Saccharomyces cerevisiae S288C: one gene and its partner. The gene in region 1 interacts genetically with each later gene. Each region holds a gene or a part of one and is shown on either strand. Other genes may lie near its edges.

Region 1 (4,199 bases):
AGGTCGTTGGCGAGGAGAATTTGGCCAAGAAGCCATATATTATGATTGCCAATCACCAATCCACCTTGGATATCTTCATGTTAGGTAGGATTTTCCCCCCTGGTTGCACAGTTACTGCCAAGAAGTCTTTGAAATACGTCCCCTTTCTGGGTTGGTTCATGGCTTTGAGTGGTACATATTTCTTAGACAGATCTAAAAGGCAAGAAGCCATTGACACCTTGAATAAAGGTTTAGAAAATGTTAAGAAAAACAAGCGTGCTCTATGGGTTTTTCCTGAGGGTACCAGGTCTTACACGAGTGAGCTGACAATGTTGCCTTTCAAGAAGGGTGCTTTCCATTTGGCACAACAGGGTAAGATCCCCATTGTTCCAGTGGTTGTTTCCAATACCAGTACTTTAGTAAGTCCTAAATATGGGGTCTTCAACAGAGGCTGTATGATTGTTAGAATTTTAAAACCTATTTCAACCGAGAACTTAACAAAGGACAAAATTGGTGAATTTGCTGAAAAAGTTAGAGATCAAATGGTTGACACTTTGAAGGAGATTGGCTACTCTCCCGCCATCAACGATACAACCCTCCCACCACAAGCTATTGAGTATGCCGCTCTTCAACATGACAAGAAAGTGAACAAGAAAATCAAGAATGAGCCTGTGCCTTCTGTCAGCATTAGCAACGATGTCAATACCCATAACGAAGGTTCATCTGTAAAAAAGATGCATTAAGCCACCACCACATTTTTAGAGTAGTATATAGACCCAAAAACTGTAATTATCTTTTTAAAAAAGTAAAATGACTTACGAATGATTCTGATGATTTTATTTATTACGACTCATATACCCAGCGTAAGAAGTGATCAATAGACCGCTACTTTATTCGGAGAAAGAGAAAAGAACTTTCCATTGTAATGTATATATAACACCAGGCATGTGTCAAAAATGTGAGACTAAATAGAAAGAAAAATACGAGGAACAACAAATAATACGATCTTGTGCATATTTTTTCCCTTTTTTTTTTTAATTCTTTTTTTCTGAAATTTTTCATTTGTTCACTGTTTAATATCTATCCATTTTTGTTTCCGAATTTTCATTAACTTTATTACTTATTTACGATACAATTTTCCCTTTAATCTAGTACGAAATGACAACAACCTCAACAACCAGTGTAGATGGCAGAACCTCCTCGACTTTGAAGGCTACTTTATCTGCTTCAGGTCCAAATTCAAATGGTCCAACGCCCGCTGTGCTTCCTCAGAAGCCAAAATTAACAGGTTGGGCGCAGGCAGCTGCCAAAGCCCTTCCAAGGCAACAGCAACAGCAACAGCAGGCACGAAAAGATGATTCCGTGGCTGTACAACCTGCTAATACGAAGACTAAAACCATCGCATCTACCGCGCCGCCTGCTAATATAAAGGGTAGTTCCACCGCCAATGGATCATCCACAAATAAGAAATTTAAAAGAGCGAATAAACAACCTTACAATAGAGAAGAAGTTAGATCGTATATGCACAAATTATTTCAGAGCTATACCGCTGGTGAAAAAAGTCATTCAATGAAAACTTATAAGCAAGTACTATCAGAAACGGCAAGTGGCAGAGTTTCAACAGCCACTGACTGGGGTACTGTATCAAGCAGTAAAAATAAGAATAAAAAATACGGCTGTTTGTCCGATATTGCTAAAGTTTTAAGAAACCAATGAGAATATCGAAGCATCACGTTTCATAACGCAAAAAGGAGTCAAACAAAAAATGAAGTATGAAGTCAAGAAAACGAAGAAAAGAGGAAAATAGAAGAAATGAAAATATTATTTTACAAGCGTAAATAAAAATTTTATAATTCATAATGTCGAAAAATGTATACTGTGTTAAGACGCCTTTCTTTGCTTTTTCTCTTAGTCTTTATTGCATAGTTCACTTAGCCTTTCCGATGCTAGCGGCTTTTCGCATCGTTCGGAAATTAGTACCTTTCTTTTTGCCCTACAAGAAAAACTATTATACAGTGTAAATACAAGATAACAGAGACCGCTACTCAGACAGCAACTTCTAACGTTTCATCGAGACTAGTTTCCTTTCATATCATTTTATAGCAATAACCATTTTCCAAGTGCAAATCATGCCTCTATCAAAGGTGGAGCACTACCTTTCATACCATACGCGCTTACTCTTACCCCATGTTTTGTCTCTTCAGTCATCACATCGTGTTGCATACATCTTTTCGCTATTATCTGCGGTGTCAACTGGCTTCATTACTTTGATATCTCTTTACTCTCAACCGTGGCAGAAACATTTAAATTATTCCTCATGGCAAATCAACACCATCGCTAGTATGACTAATTTGGGGATGTACTTGACGCCACCAATCTTGGGGATGATCGCTGATTCTCATGGCCCCATTACTTTAAGTCTTTTAGCCATCATAGGGTTCATACCTAGCTATTCATATCTGGCTTACGTTTTTAATCATCCGGAGTTATCTCTCGGAGGAAATGGTGACTCATCATTCAATCTATCCATCATTTGTTTCGTTTTCATAGGTATATCAACAAGCGCTTTATACTTTAGCGCTTTACTGACATGCACTAAGCTATATCCTCATACAAAACTACTATCCATTAGCTTACCAACGACATGTTATGGTATTTCTTCTGTAGTCGGTTCTCAACTGCTAAGAATCAAATGGTTCTGGTCCTCTAACGCAAGTTCTTCCTCGTCCAATAGTGACTTAAACCTGGGAAGAGTATTCCAAACATTTGCCCTCGTTTATGTCGTTATTGGGCTACTTGCATGGATAGCCACCAGCGTGGTATCACTTTTGCATTTTAATGAAGAGCAAGACAACCAAAAACGGCTGGATGATCAAACTGATGTGGAACAATCACCGCTGTTAGAACGAAGTAATCATGTTCAAGAAAAGTTTACGCAGACGATGCTAAGGATCTTTAGTGATCCTGTGACATATATCCTAGCGGTATCAATTTTGTTATCACTTGGGCCCCTCGAGATGTTTATTGCCAATATGGGATCACTGACTAACCTGCTAGTCCAATTAGATGCGCCAACCTTATCTACAAAGTTGTTATCCACATACGCGCTATCTTCCACTTTTACGAGATTGCTCACAGGCATAGTGGCAGACTTCTTCGCCAAGAAAAAAATATCAATTAAATGGATCCTGTTGACTTTCCTTTCATTAGGGGTATGTGCACAACTGTTTTTATTGAAAATGACCTCTTCAGCGTCACCCTGGGGGCTAGTACCTACAGGATCATTGGTTGGAATTGTATACGGTGGACTTTTCACTGTTTATCCGACGCTGGTCCTGTTAGTATGGGGCGAACGCTCATTCGGGACTGTTTACGGTAGCTTACTAATTGCACCTGCTATAGGTTCTATGATATTTTGCATGTTGTATGCCAAATTTTACGATTCTCGCTGTATGAGTGGCGGAGGAGATCTGCGAAATCCGTCCTGTATTTCGGCTGTCTACAAGTACAGCAGTATCGCATTCGTTGTATCCGCTGTTCTTTCAGCTGTAGTATTTTGGAAATTAAAAAGTAGAAAACTCAGAATTTAAACAAAAAAGAAACTGCTACATTTATTTTTTTTAAAATTCATAGCTTATATAAATGACACCAATAAATTGCACTTATTTCTTTTATGCTATGCTATTGTTTTTGATACCCTTTTAAAGGTACCGGTTAAAAATTGAGAGAAAAAAAGAAAGAACTCCTCATAGGGGGCTCGAACCCCTGACATTTCGGTATCCTTGCTTAAGCAAATGCGCTTAAAAGCCGAACGCTCTACCAACTGAGCTAACAAGGATGAGTTCTTCGGAGAATCCTGGACATAAATTTGTCCATGTTATTTTAAAGTTTTATCAGATTTGCACTGGTCTTTACCGTTCCAACACTTTGTACATGTTGATAATAAGAATAAAATATCATCCATCGACTGCTATTCTTCATATCAATTGTACATTATCATATATGATGTAAGGTGATTGGGAAACAGTCATCAGATCTTATGGAAAATAAAATGTGAAGATTCATAATATGATAGGGTAATGAATGGCAACATATAAACGAATAAGAAAATCCGCTTCTAAAAAGAACGGAATTCACCAAGTATCCCAACATTGACCCATTTCTTATGCTTACATATTGTTATTTTTTGCCCCTGTCTTAGTAGCAGAGCTTTCGTCACA
Region 2 (4,096 bases), on another chromosome or scaffold:
GTATTATACATACTATATCATCGCATACCCAATCGGTTTCCTATTCTCACCACTTTTTTCTGGAAAAATACATAGCCTAACAAGCAATTTTATTTTACGTTTGTTAATTCATTATACTGATAATATTTTTGAATTTTTTTTTTTTTTGATACATTTTTTTTAATCGCTGTTTTGTCTGTTTTTTTCGATTCAGTTATAGGGAAAAAAACGGGAAAGGAAAGAGAAAAAAAAATTAGTGCAGAGCAATAAGAAGCGAAAATCAAAAAAAAGTTTTGGATCTGCAAGACTTGCTGTCACGCAACAATATTATAGCCACCCAGCAAAAATGTCAGACATCGAAGAAGGTACGCCTACTAATAATGGGCAACAGAAGGAGAGAAGAAAGATAGAAATTAAGTTCATCGAGAATAAAACAAGGCGCCATGTGACATTTTCCAAAAGGAAGCACGGTATCATGAAAAAGGCGTTTGAGCTTTCTGTTCTAACGGGGACCCAGGTCCTGTTGCTAGTCGTTTCAGAAACAGGTTTGGTATATACTTTCAGCACGCCGAAGTTTGAACCTATAGTCACGCAGCAGGAAGGTAGAAACCTGATCCAGGCCTGTCTTAACGCCCCTGATGATGAGGAAGAAGACGAGGAGGAAGACGGTGATGATGATGATGATGATGACGATGATGGTAATGATATGCAACGCCAGCAACCACAACAACAGCAACCGCAACAACAGCAACAAGTATTGAATGCACACGCAAATAGCTTAGGCCATCTAAATCAAGATCAGGTACCGGCAGGCGCGCTGAAACAAGAGGTGAAGTCACAATTGCTAGGCGGTGCCAATCCTAATCAAAACTCAATGATTCAACAGCAGCAACATCACACGCAGAATTCACAACCACAACAGCAACAGCAACAACAACCACAGCAGCAAATGTCACAGCAACAAATGTCACAGCATCCTCGACCACAGCAAGGAATACCACATCCGCAACAATCGCAGCCACAGCAACAGCAACAACAACAACAACAACTGCAACAGCAGCAACAGCAGCAACAACAACAACCCCTCACCGGCATTCATCAGCCTCACCAACAGGCTTTTGCCAACGCTGCCTCCCCCTATCTGAATGCTGAACAGAATGCTGCCTACCAACAATACTTTCAAGAACCGCAACAAGGCCAATACTAATCTTATCGATTTCCGTATATAATTCATAGACGAGCATTAAGAGGAAAAAGCTGTTTCCGTACCAATTAAAGAAAGATAGACAACAAGAACAAAAACGTACATTACTCTATATTGAAAAAAGCCCTATGTCGGTAAAAGAATAGGAAGTACCTTAGTCATCGGCACTTACCTTTTTTTTTACGATTACTTCTGGTTTGTTTCTTTGCCTCATTTCATTTTGCTGCCACTTTCTTTCATAGGCAAGAAGATTCAATCAAATCTCCCCTTCTCCTTCCCCGGATATATAAAATATAAATATAAAACTTTAAGAATATAAAAATATGAGAAACCACACATAACTTGTATACTTTACTCACATACACACATTTCCAAAAAAATTATAATGTTAATTACATTGCTTTTAATGCTAATCTTTTTTTAGTTGTATAATCATTACCATATAAATGCCTCTCGGTCTAATTTCATTGCCAGTATTGTAAGTTATATACTTTTATACGAGTGTACGGAAAATATCGTGGCTCCCCGTTAACAGTGAAATAAATCTACGCATGTAGCTGCCAGTTTTTTAAGCGTTATATCAATATTGGTAAAGTAAGAATTGACGAAGAAATTGTTAACTACATTTTTCAGAACGGCGTGTCATTCTCCGATAATGTCTGAAGCGATATTCCAGCCAACGGACATTGTCCTTGCCAAAGTTAAAGGCTTTTCAGCATGGCCAGCAATGATTATCCCTAATGAACTCATCCCAGATAACATCCTCAAGACCAAACCTGTGAGTGTCCACAAAGGCAAATCAGGTAGTGATAAAAAAGCAAATGAAGATATAGATGCAGACATGGAATCAGAGGCTAGAGATCGAGAGCAAAGCGAAGAAGAAGAAGATATAGAGGATTTTGGTGAGAGTGAGGCTAATCCTGAAAAATTTATAATATACACTCCCGTTCTGAAGTTTCGTAAAAATGATACGTTGAAATCGACTTACTGCGTCAAGTTTTTTTGCGATGATTCTTATATCTGGGTGAAGCCCATGGATATGAAGATTCTAACAAGCGAAGATTGTCGTAAGTGGCTAAGCGGCAAACAGCGGAAGAATAAGAAACTCATACCGGCATATGAAATGGCTATGAGAGGCAAAAATGGAATTGATATTTGGGAATTTGTGGAATATGGGTCTTACGGCAAGCCAGATGAAGAGGAATATGTAGAGGAAGAGGAAGAAGAGAACGAACCTGAAAAAAAGGCTATAAGGCCAACCAGGTCTTCCAGTAGACAGCGTCAGAAGCGCGCCTCAGAAACGGAAAAGAGTGAGGGCGGTAATAGCAATAAAAGGAAAAGAGTTACTAGATCGACTAGGCAACAAGCGATAGATGCTTCAGAAGAGGAAGAGGAGGAAGAGGAGGAAAAAGTACAAGAGGCTGTTAGAAAGAGGCCGCAAAGGACCAAAACTAAGAAAGTTGTAGTATCCAAGACTAAACCAAATCCAAAAACAAAGGCAAAGAAAGAGAAACCTAAACCACCTAAGCCAATCAAATATCATTTTGAAGATGATGAAGATTGGAGCATTGTTGGGTTGGGCCCACAAGATCTATCAATCGAAAAAACGATGGATCCGATTGCGAAAAAACTGTCGCAGAAGAAAAATCTAGAAAAGCATGTGGAGATTAAGCTAGATCTGGAGGATAAACTAGCAGGTATCAACAAGCTCCTGTGTGATGTCTTATGTTCAGCCATTAACCAGGCTGTTTCGATAAAGGATGATTTCGAAATAATATTAGATGAATTGCAGATTGCCCTTGACACCAGGGGGTCCAGAAACGAATTTATAACAATTTTCCAATCAAATAATTCCCTACTGTTAAACTTTAGGATATTATTTAACTTAAGAAAAAGGGAACTGAACAAATGGGATCTGTGGGATCGTTTCCAGGATATTTTCAAGCATATTTATTCCTACCAGTTCATACCTGATACGGAAGATTGGCAACTAGAGCAAAATATGGAAATTGAAGAAATGGATCGGGAAAAGCCGAGCTTTAGTGAAGACGTAAAGGAAGAAGAAAGCAAAGTAGGAGCATGACCTGTTGCTATTGCAGTTGATGTACTCTGCTTTTGAACAATAGAGGGGAAACCTGTGTACTATAAAATAGACTAAAACTATGTAACTTGTGTATGTTCTGATATGTATGACGCAGTCTTTGATAGTCCAAAACTCACCTAGACTGTGCTGTATTATTACAATTAAAGTTCTAAGTCTGTTGTGCATTATCATTTGAGAAATGGGGGAATGTTGAGATAATTGTTGGGATTCCATTGTTGATAAAGGCTATAATATTAGGTATACAGAATATACTAGAAGTTCTCCTCAAGGATATAGGAATCCTCAAAATGGAATCTATATTTCTACATACTAATATTACGATTATTCCTCATTCCGTTTTATATGTTTCATTATCCTATTACATTATCAATCCTTGCACTTCAGCTTCCTCTAACTTCGATGACAGCTTCTCATAACTTATGTCATCATCTTAACACCGTATATGATAATATATTGATAATATAACTATTAGTTGATAGACGATAGTGGATTTTTATTCCAACATACCACCCATAATGTAATAGATCTAATGAATCCATTTGTTTGTTAATAGTTTGAATGTTTTTATCGGAAGAGGTTTGGTCATTACGTCTGCAATATTCTTTTTGGTTTCGATATAGCATACGTGCAGATGATTTCCTGATACTTCATCTCTCAGTCTCATTGCTTTAGTACCAAAAAATCTGTTTCTAAATTTCTCTTCATTATTGGATATAATTATACTGATTGTAGATTTACTGTCGGTTAGTAATCCTTTGGTAATTGGTTTCTTGTCGAGTTCTTGTATCAGGTAACTTAGATTATTTAAT

The links.
Region 2: mutations in MCH1 (region 1) and IOC4 together harm fitness more than expected from each alone (negative genetic interaction), as found in Saccharomyces cerevisiae (2 studies listed by BioGRID).

The regions. Positions count from the first base shown.
Region 1 is NC_001136.10:359,195-363,393, reverse strand, and holds MCH1 (Mch1p), read left to right. Parts: upstream 1-2,108; coding exon 2,109-3,569; downstream 3,570-4,199. Other genes in the region: 1-acylglycerol-3-phosphate O-acyltransferase SLC1, read left to right, coding at 1-722; PBP4 (Pbp4p), read left to right, coding at 1,138-1,695. UniProt on the Saccharomyces cerevisiae protein: Probable transporter. Does not act in the transport of monocarboxylic acids across the plasma membrane.
Region 2 is NC_001145.3:353,546-357,641, forward strand, and holds IOC4 (Ioc4p), read left to right. Parts: upstream 1-1,838; coding exon 1,839-3,266; downstream 3,267-4,096. Other genes in the region: transcription factor MCM1, read left to right, coding at 326-1,186. UniProt on the Saccharomyces cerevisiae protein: Functions as a component of the ISW1B complex, which acts in remodeling the chromatin by catalyzing an ATP-dependent alteration in the structure of nucleosomal DNA.